Drosophila melanogaster: one gene and its partners. The protein of the gene in region 4 purifies or fractionates together with the protein of the main gene of each other region. This does not show direct contact. Each region holds a gene or a part of one and is shown on either strand. Other genes may lie near its edges. The genes, in order: CG17032, Gbp2, TwdlE and CG9581.

Region 1 (4,298 bases), on a different chromosome or scaffold from region 4:
CTGCAGGTTTGTTTTGTTTGCAAAGAACGCACACCGCGAATCATACATATGCTTTAAATACAAACAATCATACATATCTACCGATTCAGGCCGTGATGTGCGAGCACGCCTTCTGCCGCGGATGCATTAACGAGTGGCTAACCCGCCAGCCCACTTGTCCGGTGGATCGAAATTCCCTGACTACTGCCAACTTGCGGGCAGTGCCTCGCATATTGCGCAACCTACTGTCCAGGTGAGAAAAACCCAACGCCTTCTACTCTGTGAACCTTGTGGACTCTAACTAATCTTTGACCCTTGCCAACCAGACTGTCAATCACCTGTGACAATGCGCCTTATGGCTGCACGGCTGTTCTCAAGCTAGACGCCTACAATTCCCATTTGGACGAATGCATTCACAATCCGAAGCGACCATTTCCCTGCGAGAAGGGATGCGGCTTTGACATACCCAAGGATGAGCTAAAGGACCACAACTGCGTGCGGGAGCTGCGCACTTTAATTGTCAAGCAGACGGAAAAAATGGGTGAGCTCAAATCGGAGCTCACCGACCAGCAGCTGACTATCAACGAACTGAAGCGCGAGCTGCAGCTATTCAAGGACTTTATGCGTGCCATGCGCGTCTCCAATCCTGCGATGCGGGCCATAGCCGACCAGATGGAGCGCGACGAGGTGATCCGCTGGAGCAGCACACTGCCCCGGGCCAGGGTTACGCGCTGGGGGGGAATGATCTCTACGCCCGACGATGCACTGCAGGTGAAGCCCAAATTCTAAATTTTTTTAAAACGTTAACTCACTTTTCATTTGATAGCTCATGATCAAGCGCGCTTTGTCCGAGTCGGGCTGTCCGCCACACATCCTGGATAGTCTTATGGAGTTCTGCCACGAGCGACGTTGGCCCCGTGGGCTCAGTTCGCTAGAGACACGTCAAACCAATCGTAGGATCTACGACAACTATGTGTGTCGACGCATTCCAGGTAACAATTTTAAACATAAATATTAACAACAAGGCTTTATCTTTAAACTTACTCTTCCGCAGGCAAGCAAGCTGTGCTCGTTTTGAGCTGCGACAACCTCCACATGACTGAGGACGTCATGATCGATCCAGGTTTGGTCATGATCTTCGCCCATGGCATCGAGTAGGCCCTCAGCCGCTGATTAACCACTTATCCTAGGTTAAATGCTAACTATATCGAACAGTGCTCAGTTTTGTTGATTCCTTAACGTAAGAGTAAGCATTAAAAACAATATTGTAAGGAAAAACTCGCAAAACAAACCATTCAAGCGCCTCATGACGACTTTCAAGTTGTACAAAAAATATATATTACTTTCGGTTCATTGTGTTTTATCCATTTAGTTAGTACGCAAATTCGTATACATCATCAAGTCGTTCGCATATACCCAATATTACATGTTTGATTAAGCGATCTCAACAAATGTCCCTTTGTTATCGTTCACTTCATTCTCATTTTGATGGAAGGAAGCTGTGAATGTCCTAATTCGCGTTTAAATTCGTATTGCACAACTTACTTAAATTTCTGAAATATTTGTCAATACTTTTAGATTAAATGTGGAAAGAGTAATAAACAGTTTATTTAACTAATGTATTCATGGAAGAATTTATTACTATAATAAACCATTTGCTTTTATAATTGATTTCTTTCAATTACGAATTTAAATTGTAATAGTATGTTACAACAAAATTCCATTTATTCATTTATTTAAGCACTCCCATGAATTATTTTTCTGAAAGATTGTCTAGCCTTTTAGATTAGAAATAGAAATAAAAGTGATTATTCCAACTAAACCGATAATTCTAGCCTCTTATCAGCTGAAAGGGCAGACAAGCGTCTGCCTTTGGAAATCCTACACAAATGTTCACTGGGATGCCCCCCACTTGCAAGCACCAACTCATTCGGGGAGATCTGTCCGCCTCCACTCTGTGGACCCGTAAAAGTTCTGGACAACATCTGTTTCCCGAAATGGAAATCGAAAAGCAACAAAAACCAAGCAGCAAGCAACCAAGCAACAAAATAAACAAAAGAAAACCAAACTAGTTCCTCCACGAGCTTTGGCCGCCAACCGGTTTCGGCTTTTGTACACCCGTTTTGTTTTTTTCCTACATAATACAACATTATACAAAGTTTGCATCGGTTACATGTGCCAAAAATCGTTGGATTATACAAGCCAGTTTTGGTTTTCAATTTTTTTCTTCGTATTTGCCGAACATCTTGAATATTGATAGAAGCAATTAGCGCCATCCAGACCAAAGGGGCAGCCCCCTACGGCGATTGAAAGTGAGAGTTGATCGGCCGATTGGCGGCGGAGCGGACAGGCTGAAATATATACATCCAACAGTTGATCGCGAAGCGGCGCAGCCAACGGACGTGTCCAGCTGCGATCTCCAGAAGGCAACCAATCTAATCGAAGAACACGAAATGAATGTATCAATTCCGGTGCTATTTGTGGCCCTCATCTGTCTGGCAGCTGCGTCGGCGTTTCCTCAACTGAGGCAGCGCAACGAGAAGCAGGTTCAAACCGGCGATGATGATTTGCGTAAGTAAAATTCTTAACGCTCGAAAATCTTACAATTCTTAGATTGTAAAACTTCCTAAATACATTTGGAAAATACTTTTCAAATCTGAAATTCTGTAAATATATATAAATACATATCTATCTATAAATTTTTGTGTATACATATGTACACATTCTGTAGTGCGAACAAAGCGTAAAATATTTAGTAAAATAATAGATTGCTCCGAATTTTTTAATAATAAGCTTGCCGATTATTCAGCTTCTATTAATTAAATTAAAATAAATATAAAATATTTTATAAAGTATATACCATTGCATTTTACAGCTTCCAAGGGCGCCACTATCGAGGAAGTAGTGGTGGAATCAGCCTTGTACATCAAACCGAAGTCTAATCCGCAGGTGCGTCGCGTCCGTTCGGTCCTGGATCAAATATCCGGAATCCAGGCCGCTCACAAGAGGGTGAAGCGTCAGTTTGGGCGACAATTTGGTGGTCAGTATGCTGGAAATCCCGGCTTCGGTGGCGGATTCGGTGGAGAGCCTGGTTTTGGAGGTGGATTCGGCGGTAATCAAGGATTTGGAGGCAACCAGGGATTCGGAGGTAATCAGGGTTTCGGCGGTAATCAGGAATTCGGCGGTAACCCAGGATTCGGAGGAAATCCCGGATTCGGCGGTAATCAAGGTGGAAAAGTTCAGGCAGGTACATCGGCCGGCGCTGGGGGAACCAAAGCGGGTGTTGATGTTGGTGCCGGACCAGATGGCGGCAATGCCAATGCCAACGTCGAGTTAAATCCGCTGGGACCACTCGGACCCAGTGGTTACAACCAGGAGCAGGCCGCATCCAACGGAGCTGCCCACAGCAACTACAACAATGGACTCAACTCAGGATCCTCGGCCGCCAGTGGGCAGGCTCAGGGCTTCCAGTCGCAGAGTGCCAATGGATCATTCGGTGCCTCCTCCGCAAGCACGGCCACTCAGTCCCAGAACACCAGCCCCTTTGGATCCAATAATGCGGCAGGTGCTTCGCTGAGTCAGGTTTACCATCTTCCCAATGGACAGACAATAAACTTTAGCTCCACGAACAGCTTCGCTAATGGAGGAGCCAATCGTGGCAGTAGCCATGGATCGGCAGTTTCTGTCAGCCGCTAAAAGCCAAGTTCACCATACAGGGAAAATACCTCCAAGTTAATCTATTTGTCAGCAATCCTATGTGCAAATATCTAAAAAATCCAAATAAATATTTATGATTGAATTGAATTTGAATGAATAATTTGAATGATTTTTTTAAAATCTAAACGGTTGCATTTTGATGATCCAGATTACAAATTACAACAAACTTGAATTGTTCCATACGAAATTTAAAAGCTTAAGACAATATAAGAATTGGCACTGTTGACTACAAAATATTTAGATTCTTGGTATCAACCAGCGAAAGAAAGTTGAAAGGTTTTTTTTATTTTGTTTTTTTTTTTTTTTGTACTACTTTATATAATTATCCTCAGTGTATCCTTGTACAATTTGGTTTCTACTAAAGTAGTACACGAATTTATTATTGCTACAATTAATGCGCGTAAATTGTAAAATGATTGATTTTCATTTGTGCAAACATGCCCAACTGATGATCCTAAAGAAAACTAATCTGACTCGCTTTCGCTTTCCGACTGGAAGTCACCCACTTCGATGGAAAACTTGTACTCCTGATCACAACCCAAATAGGAATCGCTCATGTAGTACAGAGTGTAGTCGTGTTTGCCCGGACTAGGTGCCACAAA
Region 2 (4,569 bases), on a different chromosome or scaffold from region 4:
TACTTTTAAAAATACAAGTTTCTCCGCATATGTATGTACTGATGGCTAACCAATATTTACTGGTCAAGTTAATACATTTGGTAAATTTTAAGTATTGTCTTTTAAAAACGATCAGAGAGAGTGGCTTTGGCTTTCGCAATCTCTCCGAAAGCCCTCCAGATAAAAGCTTTGCCAGCTTTAGACTGAGAAATCAGCAACATATAAGCCAAGCTAGATTCAGTAACGCAGTTCCCAAGCCGGAGGCTAGTAGTCGAGTCACCTGGAGAAAACCGCGAAGATGCTATCAAGATCCGTGCTGATCGTAGTAGGCCTACTAATGCTGAGCTGGCAGTGGACGATGGCCATGCCGCCCCTTCCGAAGAACCAACCCAGCGGAGTATCTATTAGTCAGCCCGATATACCGGGAGCCTCGGATATTTTGGTGCAGAGCATCTTCAACATCGATCCATCGCTGTGTCCCAAGGGGTACATACGCACGGGTCCACATCACACGTGTCGTAGGATAGCCTAGGAAGACAAGCTCTGAAGATCGATTTAAAGTTCAATATCAGAACGTGCTACAAGCTGTGTTTTTATTGATACTTAAATAAATTCTATATAAATACTTGCAATTCTCACATACATATTTAAAAAATACGACACATTCGGTTTATATAAGTACAGGTTCATTAAAGTTAATCAACTGATTGTTGGCACTGATGAAATATTGTTTAATAACATTGTTATATTTTATCTGTTTACGCTGGTTTTCGGCATCGATCTAGGTACAGTTGAAAACCAGGCGAGCATTTCTTTTCCACTTGAAGAAGTAGTTGTATCGCCGTCCAAGTGATCAGATATAGCCATCTTTTAAGTTGGAGCGCCATTTCCATACAATGCACTTCGTACAACAATCGCTTCAAAACTAATGTTCTACGGCGATCAAAAAAGTTAGCTTTTATGTAGGGATTTTCCCTGTTATGTGTGTGCTCTTCAAGATATTGATAAAAATGCGCATTCCATTTATTTGATTAGTCAATGTAACCAATTACACACAGCTTTGTAATTATACAACTGTAATTCAATATTGTAGAGATAACGTTTTCTAAATTGATATATTTCAAGAAAAATGATAACGTATTGCAGCTTAATTGCATTCAGCTGATTAATACAATTTGTGATGTTCAAAAGCTGTTACAGTGGTATACGTAAGCTACTACGAAGTCATTTTTTTACCGAAGAGCATGCTGAGGTAATCTCTGGGAAATTTGTACTTCCAATCTTGCATAAACAACCTTATCAGTTGAATAAAATGCCCCAAAAATTGTATGTCTCAATTATTACACATAATGACAGATTTAATGACACAATGAAATATGTATTGTGAACATGAAACAGTATTAATCAGAATTTCATTTGAATCCGAATTCCCTAGGCTTCCTTCCTGCAACGTCCTGCCATGAGCTTGAGTCCTTCTGCACACTTGGGATCCAGGTTGAAGAGACTGCGCTGATTTACCGACTCTGGACTTGCTTCCTCAGCATCCGACTTGGGATCTCGGTTGGCTCCAGGCGCTGTGCTCAATTCTGGTGACAGAAAATCATGGGTGTTGAAGAGGTCGTTGATGTTTTGGTCAACATTGTCAGAAGATTGAGCTCGCCCTGGAATAGGTTGGATCACAGAAGACTGCGGATGCCCGGGAATCGGTTGAATTGTCTGCGCTCCGCCAGATCCCGCAGTTTCGTAATCCTGGCCGGGTCGAGGCTGCAAAGTCTTGGGGGACTGGAAATTGAAGTCGGAAAAGTCTTCATCTGCGCTTCCGGGACGCGGTTGTATGGAATTATTAGAAGTACCAGGTTTCCGTCCCTGGTTTAGACCTGGTTGTTGAAACTCTCCAGAATTCTGGTCTGGTTGTTGGAATCCTCCAGAACTCTGGTCTGGCTGCCGGAATCCTCCAGTACTCTGGCCTGGCTGTTGGAATCCTCCAGTACTCTGGCCTGGCTGTTGGAATCCCCCAGTACTCTGGCCTGGCTGTTGGAATCCCCCAGAACTCTGGCCTGGTTGCTGGAATCCTCCAGTACTCTGGCCTGGCTGTTGGAATCCTCCAGAATTTTGGCTTGGTTGCCGGAACCCCCCATTATTTTGGCCTGACTGTTGGAATCCGCCAGCATTTTCATTTGGCTGTTCGAATCCACCAGGGTTTTGGCCAGGTCGAGGCTGTAGGGTATTTGGATCACCACCCGGCTGCTGGGGTTCCAATCCTCGAGGGTAGGTGGGTAGCTCCTCATGGCTGCCAGATTGTTGATGTCCTGGCGCCCTTCCAGATGGTTGTGGTCTATTGAATTCATTTCCTGGCTGCTGAAAACCTGGTTGGCCCCTGTTGAAATCTCCACCCGGTTGCTGGAGGCCTGGATGTCCCCTGTTAAAATCACCTACAGGGTAGGGATATTCCTGTTGTCCTCTATGAAAACCACCTCCATGTTGGTGAAATTGACTGCCAGGTTGTCCTTGAACTGCACCGACGTTCGGATAATACGGTTGACGACCTCCTGATGGTTGATTATCTGGATAATACGAAGGAGGCGGTGGAAAACGACCGAAGACAAAGGGAGGTGGTCCAATGGATCCTGGGCCATATCCTGACCCATGTACGTGATGACCATGGTGGCGATGATGGTTCCTTAATAGAAAAAAAGTATTAGTGATACAAATATTATAAAATCATAACAATCTTATTAATTAATTTTAAATACTCACGGATATCCATGTCCGCCGTTTTCCACGTAGTAAGGATTCTGGGGACGAGCTGAAGTCCATTGTCCACTGATTAAAAGGATCAGTGACATAGCCAACCTTATAGATAAGAGTTGCAAAAACATTTTCGACACGAAATCGACCCAACGGCAGCGTTGAATATTCAAAACAGACTGAGCAGCGCTGTCGAGTCGAGAACAGACGATCTAACCGAGTTTAGTATTTATTATGAGCCGCTGATAAGCCAAGTTCATGACAGCAGATAAGGCATCAAATTACATAGCAGAAGAGTAGGGAATAACTGATGCAGCTGAATGCACCGGGAATTGTTTGAGTTAGACACTGACTCACAGTGATGGCCACCAAACTAAAATTACTGCGTTTTACACGACGCTAAGTTTCCCCCAATAGCGTTTCTCCCACAATTGTGATTTGGGTTTTCTATGGGTATTTTTGTCTGCCTCCGAATCGTTTATAATAGTCACCGAAAAAACCATTAATCAATCAAAAGTTCTACACAAATATCACTTTATTGGCTAACATCAATCTTAGCGACTACAGATTACGCCGGCTTTCTGCATCGTTTTCCGAACAGCTCAAAGCCAGGCTTACATTTTTGGGTCGTCTCCAGCAATATTCGGTTGTCTATAACTGGCAGCACAGTGGTGTTTTCATTAACCAGCTCCTCCGATCCGCTGGTGATCTGTTCTGTGCTGTTTGTACTTTCCAAACGGAGTGCTATTGTGGATGCGGGTTCCTCAGTTGTCGTTGTGGTCGAGTATGTGAATCTCGAGCTGGTATCGTCGTCATCCTTTGGAAAAACGATGCGATCGTTACCACTGGGCCGTGTTCTCGCCTCGGTGAGGAGGAAGACCAGCGGTAGGATGCACAGCACCAATGGATTAATACGTATCAACATTATCTCCGAGATGCACGCTCGTTTGCTACGATGAAGCTTCGATGACTGAGCGCGGAAACAACTGGCTGGCCATTTACATTCAGATTTTCATTCCCAGCGAAACCAGATAAATGATGGGAGCAAATCGTTGGGAGACAACAATAAGAATGGCAAGGGAGCTCATAAGCTCTCCCATGAAAACAAAACGTAAACAAAGCAGAAGAGTAGCGTTAAGCTTTTCAGATATATCTCAGCTAGTCTACACTGACAGAACTGAATTATCATAAAGCTTTTTTTTAATGAAATATGTTGGTGCCCAGCTATTTCGAACGTTTTTTTTTTTTTTTGTTGATTTGCAATGCAATAATTTACACTCAATACTTTTGAATTTATTTCTTACATTTTTGTCAATTAATTCTCACTTCTTTCCACTTTTATGGCTCTAATCTAGGCAATTTTCCGGCAACGATCTTTTACTGTCAGAGTAGTGCCGTTTGGACAAATTCGCGTTGTTTCCAGGACAATTCTAGGCTCAATACCCAAACTAGTGGAATCGCTAGCAATGGTTGGTTTCGTATTATCTGACTCTGAGGGAAACGCAAACTGATCGCTAGACACTCGAGCTGCACGATTTGTATCCAATGCCAGACACAGCCAGACAAACAAAAATAGCATCTTCGGCCAGGGAAGACGCCGCGTAATTGCCATCGTAAAGTTGGTTTTGTTTATTTGCAATCGACAGAGTCTCTGAAGTCTCAGTTTCCGGCTCTGTCTCACTTTCTGATTCAGATTCGGATTCACTTCGAGAGGATAACTTTAAAAGGAAGCTCAAGTAAACACATTCACTTCATTCAATATCGCACTAAGTTCTAAATCTGTGGAGGTTCAATTTTTAAGAATTTATAGCAGTTTCTAAGACCCTAAGATATTCATCCCGT
Region 3 (5,062 bases), on a different chromosome or scaffold from region 4:
TAGGTCAGAACTTAAGATGGAGGGTCAACTATCTGACCTACAGGAAGCATTGACTAGTATAACGACGTCGCTGAAGAATATGTCTGCGAAAATAAATATTTTACATAGGTTCAAGCGAATCGGATCGAGATATTTGCACATCGAAGACATAGTCCAACAAAATTGGACCAGTGCTTTGAGCGCATGTCAAAAGATGGGAGGTAATCTAGCCTCAATTATAAATGAAGCAGACTTTAATGCTATCGTTTCGCAACTAAGCAAAGACAACACTTATATGATTGGCATTAGTGATCTGGCTGAAAAGGGCGTTTTCATATCTGTGTCCTCCGGAAAGAGAGCACCTTTTTTGAAATGGAATCCTGGAGAGCCACTATACGAACATGTAGATCAGCGTTGCGTTTCTATACATAACGGTGGCATGTGGGTTGCTTCTTGTACTTCTGATTTCAAATACATTTGCGAGGCAAATGAAAATGTATAGTAAACAGATATATATAAATATATGTACACATATGTTAAGACTTGCAATGTGAAACATACAAAAAGAAATCCATCTTGTACAGATAATTCGTTAAACTTTTATTTAGCCATTGATGTTTTGTGTTTTTAACATTATATACTTGAGTATCATTTTAATCTTCATTTTTTTTTGTTGCATTTCGAGTGCTTCGCACATTCTATTTAATGACAAATCGTGTGCGAAATGTGCAATATGAAATTGGAATAAATTGCCTACTTGAAAATGCGTTTGTGATGAAAATCATGTACCACGTATATATCGTTAATCGGTATCAGGATCGATATCTCTATCGATAACTAAGGCTAGCTCGCAGTGAGTGTTTCGAGTGTTTTGTGTGAGTGTATAACGCATCGTTCGCTTAAAGACCTAGACTTAAGACTAAACAAACAATTTGAAACAAACAGCCTAGATGGAAAACATACTTCTCGTACATCAGGTAGAAACAACATCAGAGATAAGAATTACTCATCTATAGGAGTAATAATCCTATGAGCTGGGTGTGGAGAGGGGATGGGGGAGATTCGTTGCTTGGTAAACTTTGTCACGCGTTAAGGTCCTTGAAACAGAAAATAATACAATACACATAAGATATGCAGTTTGCCATGAGTTGGGTTGAGATAAGCAAATCGGTATTCGGGTTGGACTGGATCGCCTAGTGGGATGGTGCCCCATACGAGCTGCTGGGAGCAGAGGGTGCGGGCGGGGCAGCTGGAGCTCCGTACTCGGGCGCTGGAGGCGCCACACTGTTGGGATAGGGTCCGGTCTCCTCCTTCTGGGTCTTGTAGCGGATGAAGTACACCTCCGGCTTGCTGGGTTGGGTGGGAGCTGGCGTTGGGATAATGATCTCCGGCTGCTCCTCCGGCTTCTTGACTAGCACGTACACCAGGGTCTTCTCTTCGTTCTGTGGGAACTGCGGTATTACAGGGGCGGTCGGTACTGGTGGAGATGGCGCCTTGATGAAGACGATCTTGTAGTGCTTCTGCGGAGGTGGCACGTAAAGGGGTTTCCTGGGAAAATATTTAAAAATGTATTTAAATAAAGGTTCTGCTATATCTGTATTTAAGGAATTTCTTAGGAATTCTATGGGTAAAGTAAGACACCACATCCTCATATAACGCAACTTTTTTTGCTTCCGGCTTGTAAAAATTTACATACTGAATAAAAAAATTTCAATTACACACGGCCAGGCTGGAATGACTTTCCACACTTCCTATAACCTTGCCTTGTTGAACGAACAAATACCGCGATGCGGGAGAAAGGAGTTTCTCTTTGAGGTGCATGCAAATGGCATGCCCATAAATGGTGACCTCCCGAAAATGGTGACCTCCCGACAACGTTGAACCCACTGCAGCTGCTTGTCAGTTTTACTAATCAGATGAAGATGATGACTATTGTGACGATGACAGCGATTGTCACAACAACCGCCTCGAGACGAGGGTTTACATAAAGCTACCTATGGTAATCGAGTTCCTGTCCCTCTGCGCCTGATAATTTGCTTGGAAATGGTACTGAGATATATACGAGTACAAGTGCTGCGGCGAGCTTAGGTAACGTTTTAGTCACGGTTTGGCGGTCTGCAAAGCCATATCATTCCCCTCTCGTGGTAATTAACATCGCTTCCAACTCCAATTGAAAACAGACAGAAGACGACAGAAAACATTGTATCAGCGAAAAGAGAGGAAAGTTGGATGGCTTTCGTTTTCGCGGGTATTAAATAATGTTCCTCCTCCGTTTAAGCGACCCTCTAAATACCCTGGAAATGTGGCAACAGCTGTGGAAAAGGGCCCTGAGCTGGATTAGATGATTGCCGGCTGGTCTCTTGCAACATTTGTCTAGTTATTATCTTTGGGAGTTGACGGCACTGCCTGGTTTACGCCGATGAATTGTGAGAGAATCTGCATAAGTGCCTTGGATTATATACTCATAACACAACAATGTGTTTTTTCCCCATATTTTTCCAATCTTAAGTGGAACAAGACAAATAAAGCGAGATCGTTTGTAACCGCTCACAATCACGCAAGTCGAAAAAAAAGTGTGCTGGATAAGGGGTGTGAATAATTTGAACTGATTACGTTGTGAAATGAAAAAAACCGCAGGATGTACGTTTATATTGTACGGCTTATCAGAAGAAATTCTCGATTGTTCACTCACTCACTGTGTTGGGAGTGTAGTGCGATTTCTATTTTGTGAAACTATGCAAAATAAATAATTTTACTATTACTTAAACTCTTAAATACGTATCTTTTGTGATTAAACTGAATGTGTCTAAAATAACATTTTTAAAGATTTTTTCCATTTTTAGGTCTGATATAATTATCATCTAGTATAGACAAAAATTTTAAACGAGTATGCATAGATCCTTTTCCGGAACTTGGTTGAAGAATAGGTTTATTGGGAACCCTATTCTACTCGCGATCTTTGGAACTTATGTTGGCTTAGAGGATCCTTGATCCTGCCACTCACCTGGGTGCCTGGTATTCCGGCTCTGGTGGAGGTACATGGACGTAGACGTGCTTGTGAATCACCGGCGCCTGCTGGGGAGGTCCGTACTGGGGCGCAGGGGCGCCGTAGCCTCCGCTGGGTCCACTTGGCTGGTAGCTGCTGGAGGGGGGCGCACTGTACGAGTCACGAGGCGGCTCTGGACGAGCGGCCACCAGGGCAGCCAGGGCCATGAGGACCACTAACTGCGAACGAGATCGGAGGAGAACACACCATTAAGCGATGTCCATCACGGCCACTTGGTCGGTTTGGTCACAAGATCATACCACACAACTGGAATGCATTTTCGGGTGGCTTATTTCGGGTATATCCGTTTCGGGTTTTGTCACTGCTCCAGGTGGCTAGGTGCTACTGGCTGTTACTGGTTACTGGTTACTGGCAATGTGGTGCTGCTTCGACGCGGAACCTCTTACTGCATGCCACAACGATTGTTGCAGTTTCTTTTATAGCAGCGCAGCGCGTGAAATAAAAATTAAGTAAAATTCAAGACGACGATCAAGACCGCTGCTGCTTTAGCCGCCTCAGCTGCCTCAGCTGCTGCCGCAGTCGACCGAGCAGTCGGCCAAGTTGGCTGAGCAGTTGGCAAAGAGCGGCAGCAGCATGTAGCCATGAAGAAATTGAAATGTTTAAGCCAAGTCCAAAGTTTGGCCAGTCATGATCTGGTGGGGAAACTGAGGCTGCAGCTCCTGGCTGCGATGCAAACGGCGACCGCAAAGCCAACCGAAACTGCAACGTCTGCTGACCGTTTCTTGGCTTTGGCTTTCCTCCTTCGATTAACTACTTCTTTTTCGTGGTTTTTCGAGCATGTGGTTGGTTGTTTTTTTTTTTCTGTTTTTCTGCCCAACTAGGATTATTTTCATGGGGAAAATAAGGAACCTGAAAGGTGCAGTGTATGTATGTAAAATAAAGCTTGAGGCAGCAAGGCCATCAAATAGTTTTTTATGGTTTTTATTTCTGAAGACACTTAGCTGCTGGAATGTAGCTTATTTCAAGGGTCCATTATTTTCAAGGCAAGAAAATAAAAGCCTTTTTTGCGGTAACCTCAGCTTTAACGATTTCCTGCTTAATTTAAGAATATCTGAGAATATCTGTTCTCTTATTATTAATTTATCACGCCTTTTGTTCTTTTATCATTAAAAGAAAATGCCTCTCTTAGCTTAGATAGTTTAATTATTAAAGGCAAGTCATATTTTGTAATATTTAATTTATAAATATGTCTTGTGCATTTTTTTCCCTCGCCCATTTAAAACATTTGTATAGATTCGCTGTAGAGTACAACTCCTTCGAACTGATTGCCAAAGAAACATGGTTTTTCCTAAAATCTCTGATTTCTGTTATTTATATATAAATATATATATATATGTGCTTTATTATATATATGTAGCTAATGTGTGTAAATTGTTATTTTGGTCATTTAGAGGATCCAATCGCAGTGGACTCGTAACCAAGTCTGGACTCTGGATCGGATCGTGTGGCACGATTCACTTTCAATTTCAATGAATGTGGATTCACTCTCATTTAGCCAGCCGTTTTGGGGAATGGGTTGGTATAGTATGGTATGGTATGGTTTGGGATCAGATGGGATGGGGCTAAGCTTTGTTTTGTGCTCTGGAGTGGGACTGAATCTGGTGTTGGTTTTATTTCATTTCTTCATGCTCTTTCGGCCTTTTGTTAGCCAGCTTCTTTCGGTGTTTTGGGTTGTGTTGTGTGTTGGCTTGAGTTGACTTGGCCTGGCTTGTTGTTATTATTATTGTTACTGTTATTGTTATTGTTTTACTGGCTATGTTGCTTTTGTAATTGCTGTCCGCGTTTTGGACACGAAGCTTCATAATGAGCTTCACGCTCTTGTTGGGTCGACCCATCTGTACAGGCATTTTATTTAATTTTTCTCCTCTGGTTTTTTTGTTTTTGCAATATTTTGAATTTCTTCAATTTGTTTTTTTTTTTATCTCTGGCAAGTTTTAGTGTTGTTTTTGGGTTGCTTTTCTTATTTAATAATTTACGCCCCGGCCATGACAATTAGCGTTAGAGAAGAGTGATGGA
Region 4 (4,075 bases):
GATCCGCCTAGGCCCGAGGATGTGGCAGCTGGTCCGCCCAATATTTTATTCGTGTTAATAGCTTTGATCGTAGTGTGCCTTTTAGGAAAATCGCTTTTAATGTCGTCTGCGCATGCGCACACTGTTGGCAATAAATAAACGCATATAGCAGCAGTTGTAACCAATGCGACGACTGACATAAACCTAGAGATCTGGGATCTGGCATCTAGCATCGGACATCGGGACTACTTAAAGAAGAGCTTGTGCAACTGCTTGGACTTCACGGGCACAAATTCTTGCATTTCATCCGGGTTGGTCCAGAAGGCCACACAGTTTTGAAGCTCAGTGCAAGGCGCCTCCCGATGGATGTACTCTTTCAGGATAAAGTCGTTCTCGATCTCGTGGTGGAAGCGGGTGTCGTGCATCCGGATTAGCACGTGGTCCACGCGCAGAAAGTGGCGCAAAAGGATGAAGAAGCCAGAGGGCATCACGCGCTGTGCCAGAAAGAGTTGGGCTTCTTCGATAAGGGCTCTATAATTTGTATTTATCAGCACTTACGATTCGCACGCTCATCACCGATATTCCGTGGTCGTGCAGCTCATCCTCGAACAGAGTTAAATCGTGGTAGAAGATGATGTTCTCGCGCTGCATCAGCTTGAACTTGTTCAGCGTCTGATTCGTGGTCTCCGATCGCACTTTTTCGTTCATGGTGCCCTGGTAGGTGGAGGTGAATGTCCAGTCGAAAGGCTTGAACTTCTCCTCCATTGTCTGCTCGTTACTGGAGTATAGAATTCAATCATTTGGGCGATTTATAGAGGAACAACAGTAGAACGATCCATATCCCAATCTCAATGGGAGTACCCACCGCGTTTCCCGCCACTCCTGAGCACAAGCGACCTCCAGCGGCTGCTTCCCATTGTCCACCAGCGCCAGCGCGTCCATGGGGCAGAACTCGAGAGTGGCGCCGTCCTTGTGCTGTAACACCAGCCGATTCTTGTGGAACACCATGTCGGGCAGGTGGGGCAGCTGCAGGGAGTGCTGGTAGTGGCAGAGGTCGCAGCGGTCGGCCGAGTCCTTGGGACAGCACTTGGCGGTGCCCAGTTGGCAGCTGCTCTTCAGGATGTGCGACTTCTCATACTTGATGGCCCAGTCGTGGAACTGGATGAACTCGCTGTCCACCGGCAGCCGGGGCACAAAGCACTGCAGGACGGGATTACATTGAGTGTTTGGCCATTGGAACTGGGCTATACCAACACATACCTCCTCCATGGACATTCTAAAGATATGTCAAATGATTTCAAAGTGTCTGTCTAAGTCGAAAATACTGTTCCAAAGCCCCCTATTGATCCTGTTAAAAATTTTTGTTATTATGTTAGGGATGCCAATGTCGATTACTTCTAAAGCTTAGCGGCGGTACTATCGAGGTTTTTCGATTGCAGCGCAATATTTAAATGCTATGGGGCGAAAGCAATCAAGTTGGCGTACTTGAGTGGATTCATAAGCTTATATAAGCCGTGGTTGTACACAATTCGAAATGAATCGCGTTTTTTGAAAGCTGCTATAGGTAAGGCGAAACTACATTCACATAGTTGTATAATTTTACAACGATAGTTATCGACATCTGTCAATCGGCGGGACTCTTGTTAAGCAATCGTCTGGCAACCCATGTGTTTTGTTTTTATCCAGGATCGTTAGTGTTTTTAACAGTTCCGTTTTCTGATGTGTATAATATTGTGAAGATTTTAGTTGGCAACCCAAGAACCGGAACCGGCAGCACGATGAATATCCTAAGGCGCCTGGACCGCCTGATCGCTCCCACCGTCCGCCGCAGCGCCGCCATTTCCACCAGCCTGTGGCCACACCGCTGGATGAGCCAGTCCACCACGATCTCCCCAGGAAGTCCCAGCAGCAAATCGACAGTAAACGCGGCCGAGGTGCGTGGCGTGGCTCAGATTCTGCGCCAGCAAAAGGGAAACCTGGGACAGCCCACCAGCGTCTCGCATCCACATCTTATCCAGCCGGACGAGCTGGTTCCGGGCGTGGAGCTGACCGAGATCAAGGAACGCCGTTCGCAGCTGATGCAAAACATCCGCGCCTATGCACGCAGTTTCGGCGGCGAGTTCAATGGGCACTCGAGTTCTTGTCACATGGTGAGGACCTGCAGGCTACAAAGAGAAGCAAAATATATAAACTTGAATCTCTGACAGCTCGTTCTGGGCGCCGCCTCCAAGAAGTATATGAGCGGCAAGATCCCGTACGTGTTCCGCCAGAACTCGGACTTCTACTACCTAACTGGCTGCCTAGAGCCGGACGCCGTGCTACTGCTGACCATCGACGAGGCCCAGAACGTGCAGTCCGAGCTGTTTATGCGTCCCAAGGACCCGCATGCCGAGCTGTGGGATGGTCCGCGCACTGGGCCCGAGCTCGCGGTGCCGCTTTTCGGAGTCACTGAGGCCCATCCGCTGTCCCAGCTGGAGGCGGTGCTGGCCAAGCGCGCAGGCGCCCTAAAACCACACATCTGGTTCGATCAGAAGAGCACCGACCTGCCGTCCCTGGCGGAGAACATGCTGCGATTGAGCGGCAATCAGCAGCGTCCGCTGCTGCCGGCCTACACTTTCCTAGAAGCCATGCGCCTGCTTAAGTCCCGCGACGAGATGCAGTTAATGCGGCGCACCTGCGACATAGCCTCACGCTCGTTCAACGAAGTGATGGCCGAGACCCGGCCAGGTCAGTCGGAGCACCATCTGTTCGCCGCGATTGACTACAAGTGCCGCATGCGCAACGCCAGCTACCTGGCCTACCCGCCGGTGGTGGCTGCCGGTAAAAACGCCACGGTGATCCACTACGTGGCCAACAGCCAGTTGTTGGGTCAGCAGGATCTCGTGCTGATGGACGCCGGCTGCGAGTATGGCGGCTACACCAGCGACATCACACGCACCTGGCCGGCGAGTGGGGTTTTCACGGAGCCGCAGCGCACACTGTACGACATGCTGCACCAGCTGCAGGAGGAGATTATTGGCAACGTGATGAAGCCGGGCGGCGAGACGCTCGACCAGCTGTTCGAGACCACCTGCTACAAGCTGGGCAAGTACTTGCAGGAGATCGGGCTGGTGGGCAAGTCGTTCAGCGAGTACAAGGAACTGGTCAGCCAGGGCTACCGCTTCTGTCCGCACCACGTCTCCCACTACCTTGGGATGGACGTGCACGACACACCGCACGTGCCACGCAACACACGCATCGTGCCCGGCATGGTCTTCACCGTTGAGCCGGGCATCTACATTGGCCAGGATTGCGGCGACGTGCCGCCCGAGTTCCGGGGCATCGGCATCCGCATCGAAGACGATCTGCTCATCAACGAGAACGGCCACGTGGAAGTTCTAACTGAGGCGTGCGTCAAGGATCCACGCGCCCTGCAGGAGCTTTGCAAACAGCAACAGAAGAACCCCGGTGCCTCATCCGCGGAGGCGTTTTAAGAGCTCACAACGAAAACCAAATTCCTAGTCATAAGCCTTTCATTCTCCCGACAACCTTATGAGCTGATTTGGGTCCTAAAGTAAAGGCAGATGCTGTATTTATAAATGCACACATGGCAAATACATTTTAAATTCTGTCAGATTGCAGATTACATATTACAGGTTACCGATCACAGCTTGGCGAACACTGGCTTATCGTCCTTCGTCAACTGGGCGGCCACAGCCTGGGCGAAGTCCTCCGACAGCAGGTTGAGCTTGTTCAGCAGGAGCTGCAAGGTGTGAGGCGTGAGGCGTGGTTAGCTCGTGCAAATTCGTTGAGATATTAGGATACCCACAATGTGATCCAAGCCCTCTTGATTGGTGTGCTCCAGGGAGTACACGAGGCTCTCCTTGGTTGTCTTTACGGCGACGGGACTCTTGCTAGCGATGAGCTCGGCCACGGCCAGGGCTCCGGTCAGCAGGGAATCCTTGTCTGGGAAGAGGCGACTCACCAGGCCCGAGGAGTGGGCCTCGGCGGCCTCGAATTTGCGCCCAGTGAAGCACAGCTCGCGGGCGAGGGACTGACTGCCCACTGCCTTGGGCAGACGCTGCAGGGTGCCCACGTCGGCGGCCATGCCGATGTC

The links.
Region 1: the proteins of CG9581 (region 4) and CG17032 purify together in Drosophila melanogaster (affinity purification with mass spectrometry, with the first as the bait; one large-scale study listed by BioGRID). This does not show direct contact.
Region 2: the proteins of CG9581 (region 4) and Gbp2 purify together in Drosophila melanogaster (affinity purification with mass spectrometry, with the first as the bait; one large-scale study listed by BioGRID). This does not show direct contact.
Region 3: the proteins of CG9581 (region 4) and TwdlE purify together in Drosophila melanogaster (affinity purification with mass spectrometry, with the first as the bait; one large-scale study listed by BioGRID). This does not show direct contact.

Annotation. Positions count from the first base shown.
Region 1 is NT_037436.4:15,956,834-15,961,131, forward strand, and holds CG17032 (uncharacterized protein), read left to right. Parts: upstream 1-2,009; 5' UTR 2,010-2,432; coding exon 2,433-2,550; intron 2,551-2,854; coding exon 2,855-3,675; 3' UTR 3,676-3,776; downstream 3,777-4,298. Other genes in the region: elgi (early girl), read left to right, coding at 1-6, 90-232, 306-750, 806-971, 1,034-1,137; Brr2 U5 snRNP complex subunit, read right to left, coding at 4,161-4,298.
Region 2 is NT_033778.4:17,135,581-17,140,149, reverse strand, and holds Gbp2 (Growth-blocking peptide 2), read right to left. Parts: upstream 2,911-4,569; 5' UTR 2,859-2,910; coding exon 2,737-2,858; intron 2,660-2,736; coding exon 1,411-2,659; 3' UTR 555-1,410; downstream 1-554. Other genes in the region: CG43103 (uncharacterized protein), read left to right, coding at 278-511; Gbp1 (Growth-blocking peptide 1), read right to left, coding at 3,296-3,652.
Region 3 is NT_033779.5:7,857,398-7,862,459, forward strand, and holds TwdlE (TweedleE), read right to left. Parts: upstream 3,443-5,062; 5' UTR 3,304-3,442; coding exon 3,286-3,303; intron 3,205-3,285; coding exon 2,984-3,204; intron 2,724-2,983; exon of another isoform or gene 1,528-2,723; coding exon 1,173-1,527; 3' UTR 560-1,172; downstream 1-559.
Region 4 is NC_004354.4:20,167,528-20,171,602, reverse strand, and holds CG9581 (uncharacterized protein), read left to right. Parts: upstream 1-1,621; 5' UTR 1,622-1,757; coding exon 1,758-2,129; intron 2,130-2,186; coding exon 2,187-3,452; 3' UTR 3,453-3,561; downstream 3,562-4,075. Other genes in the region: AnxB10 (annexin B10), read left to right, coding at 1-11; CG9578 (uncharacterized protein), read right to left, coding at 225-473, 538-757, 845-1,179, 1,240-1,254; CG9577 (uncharacterized protein), read right to left, coding at 3,623-3,721, 3,788-4,075.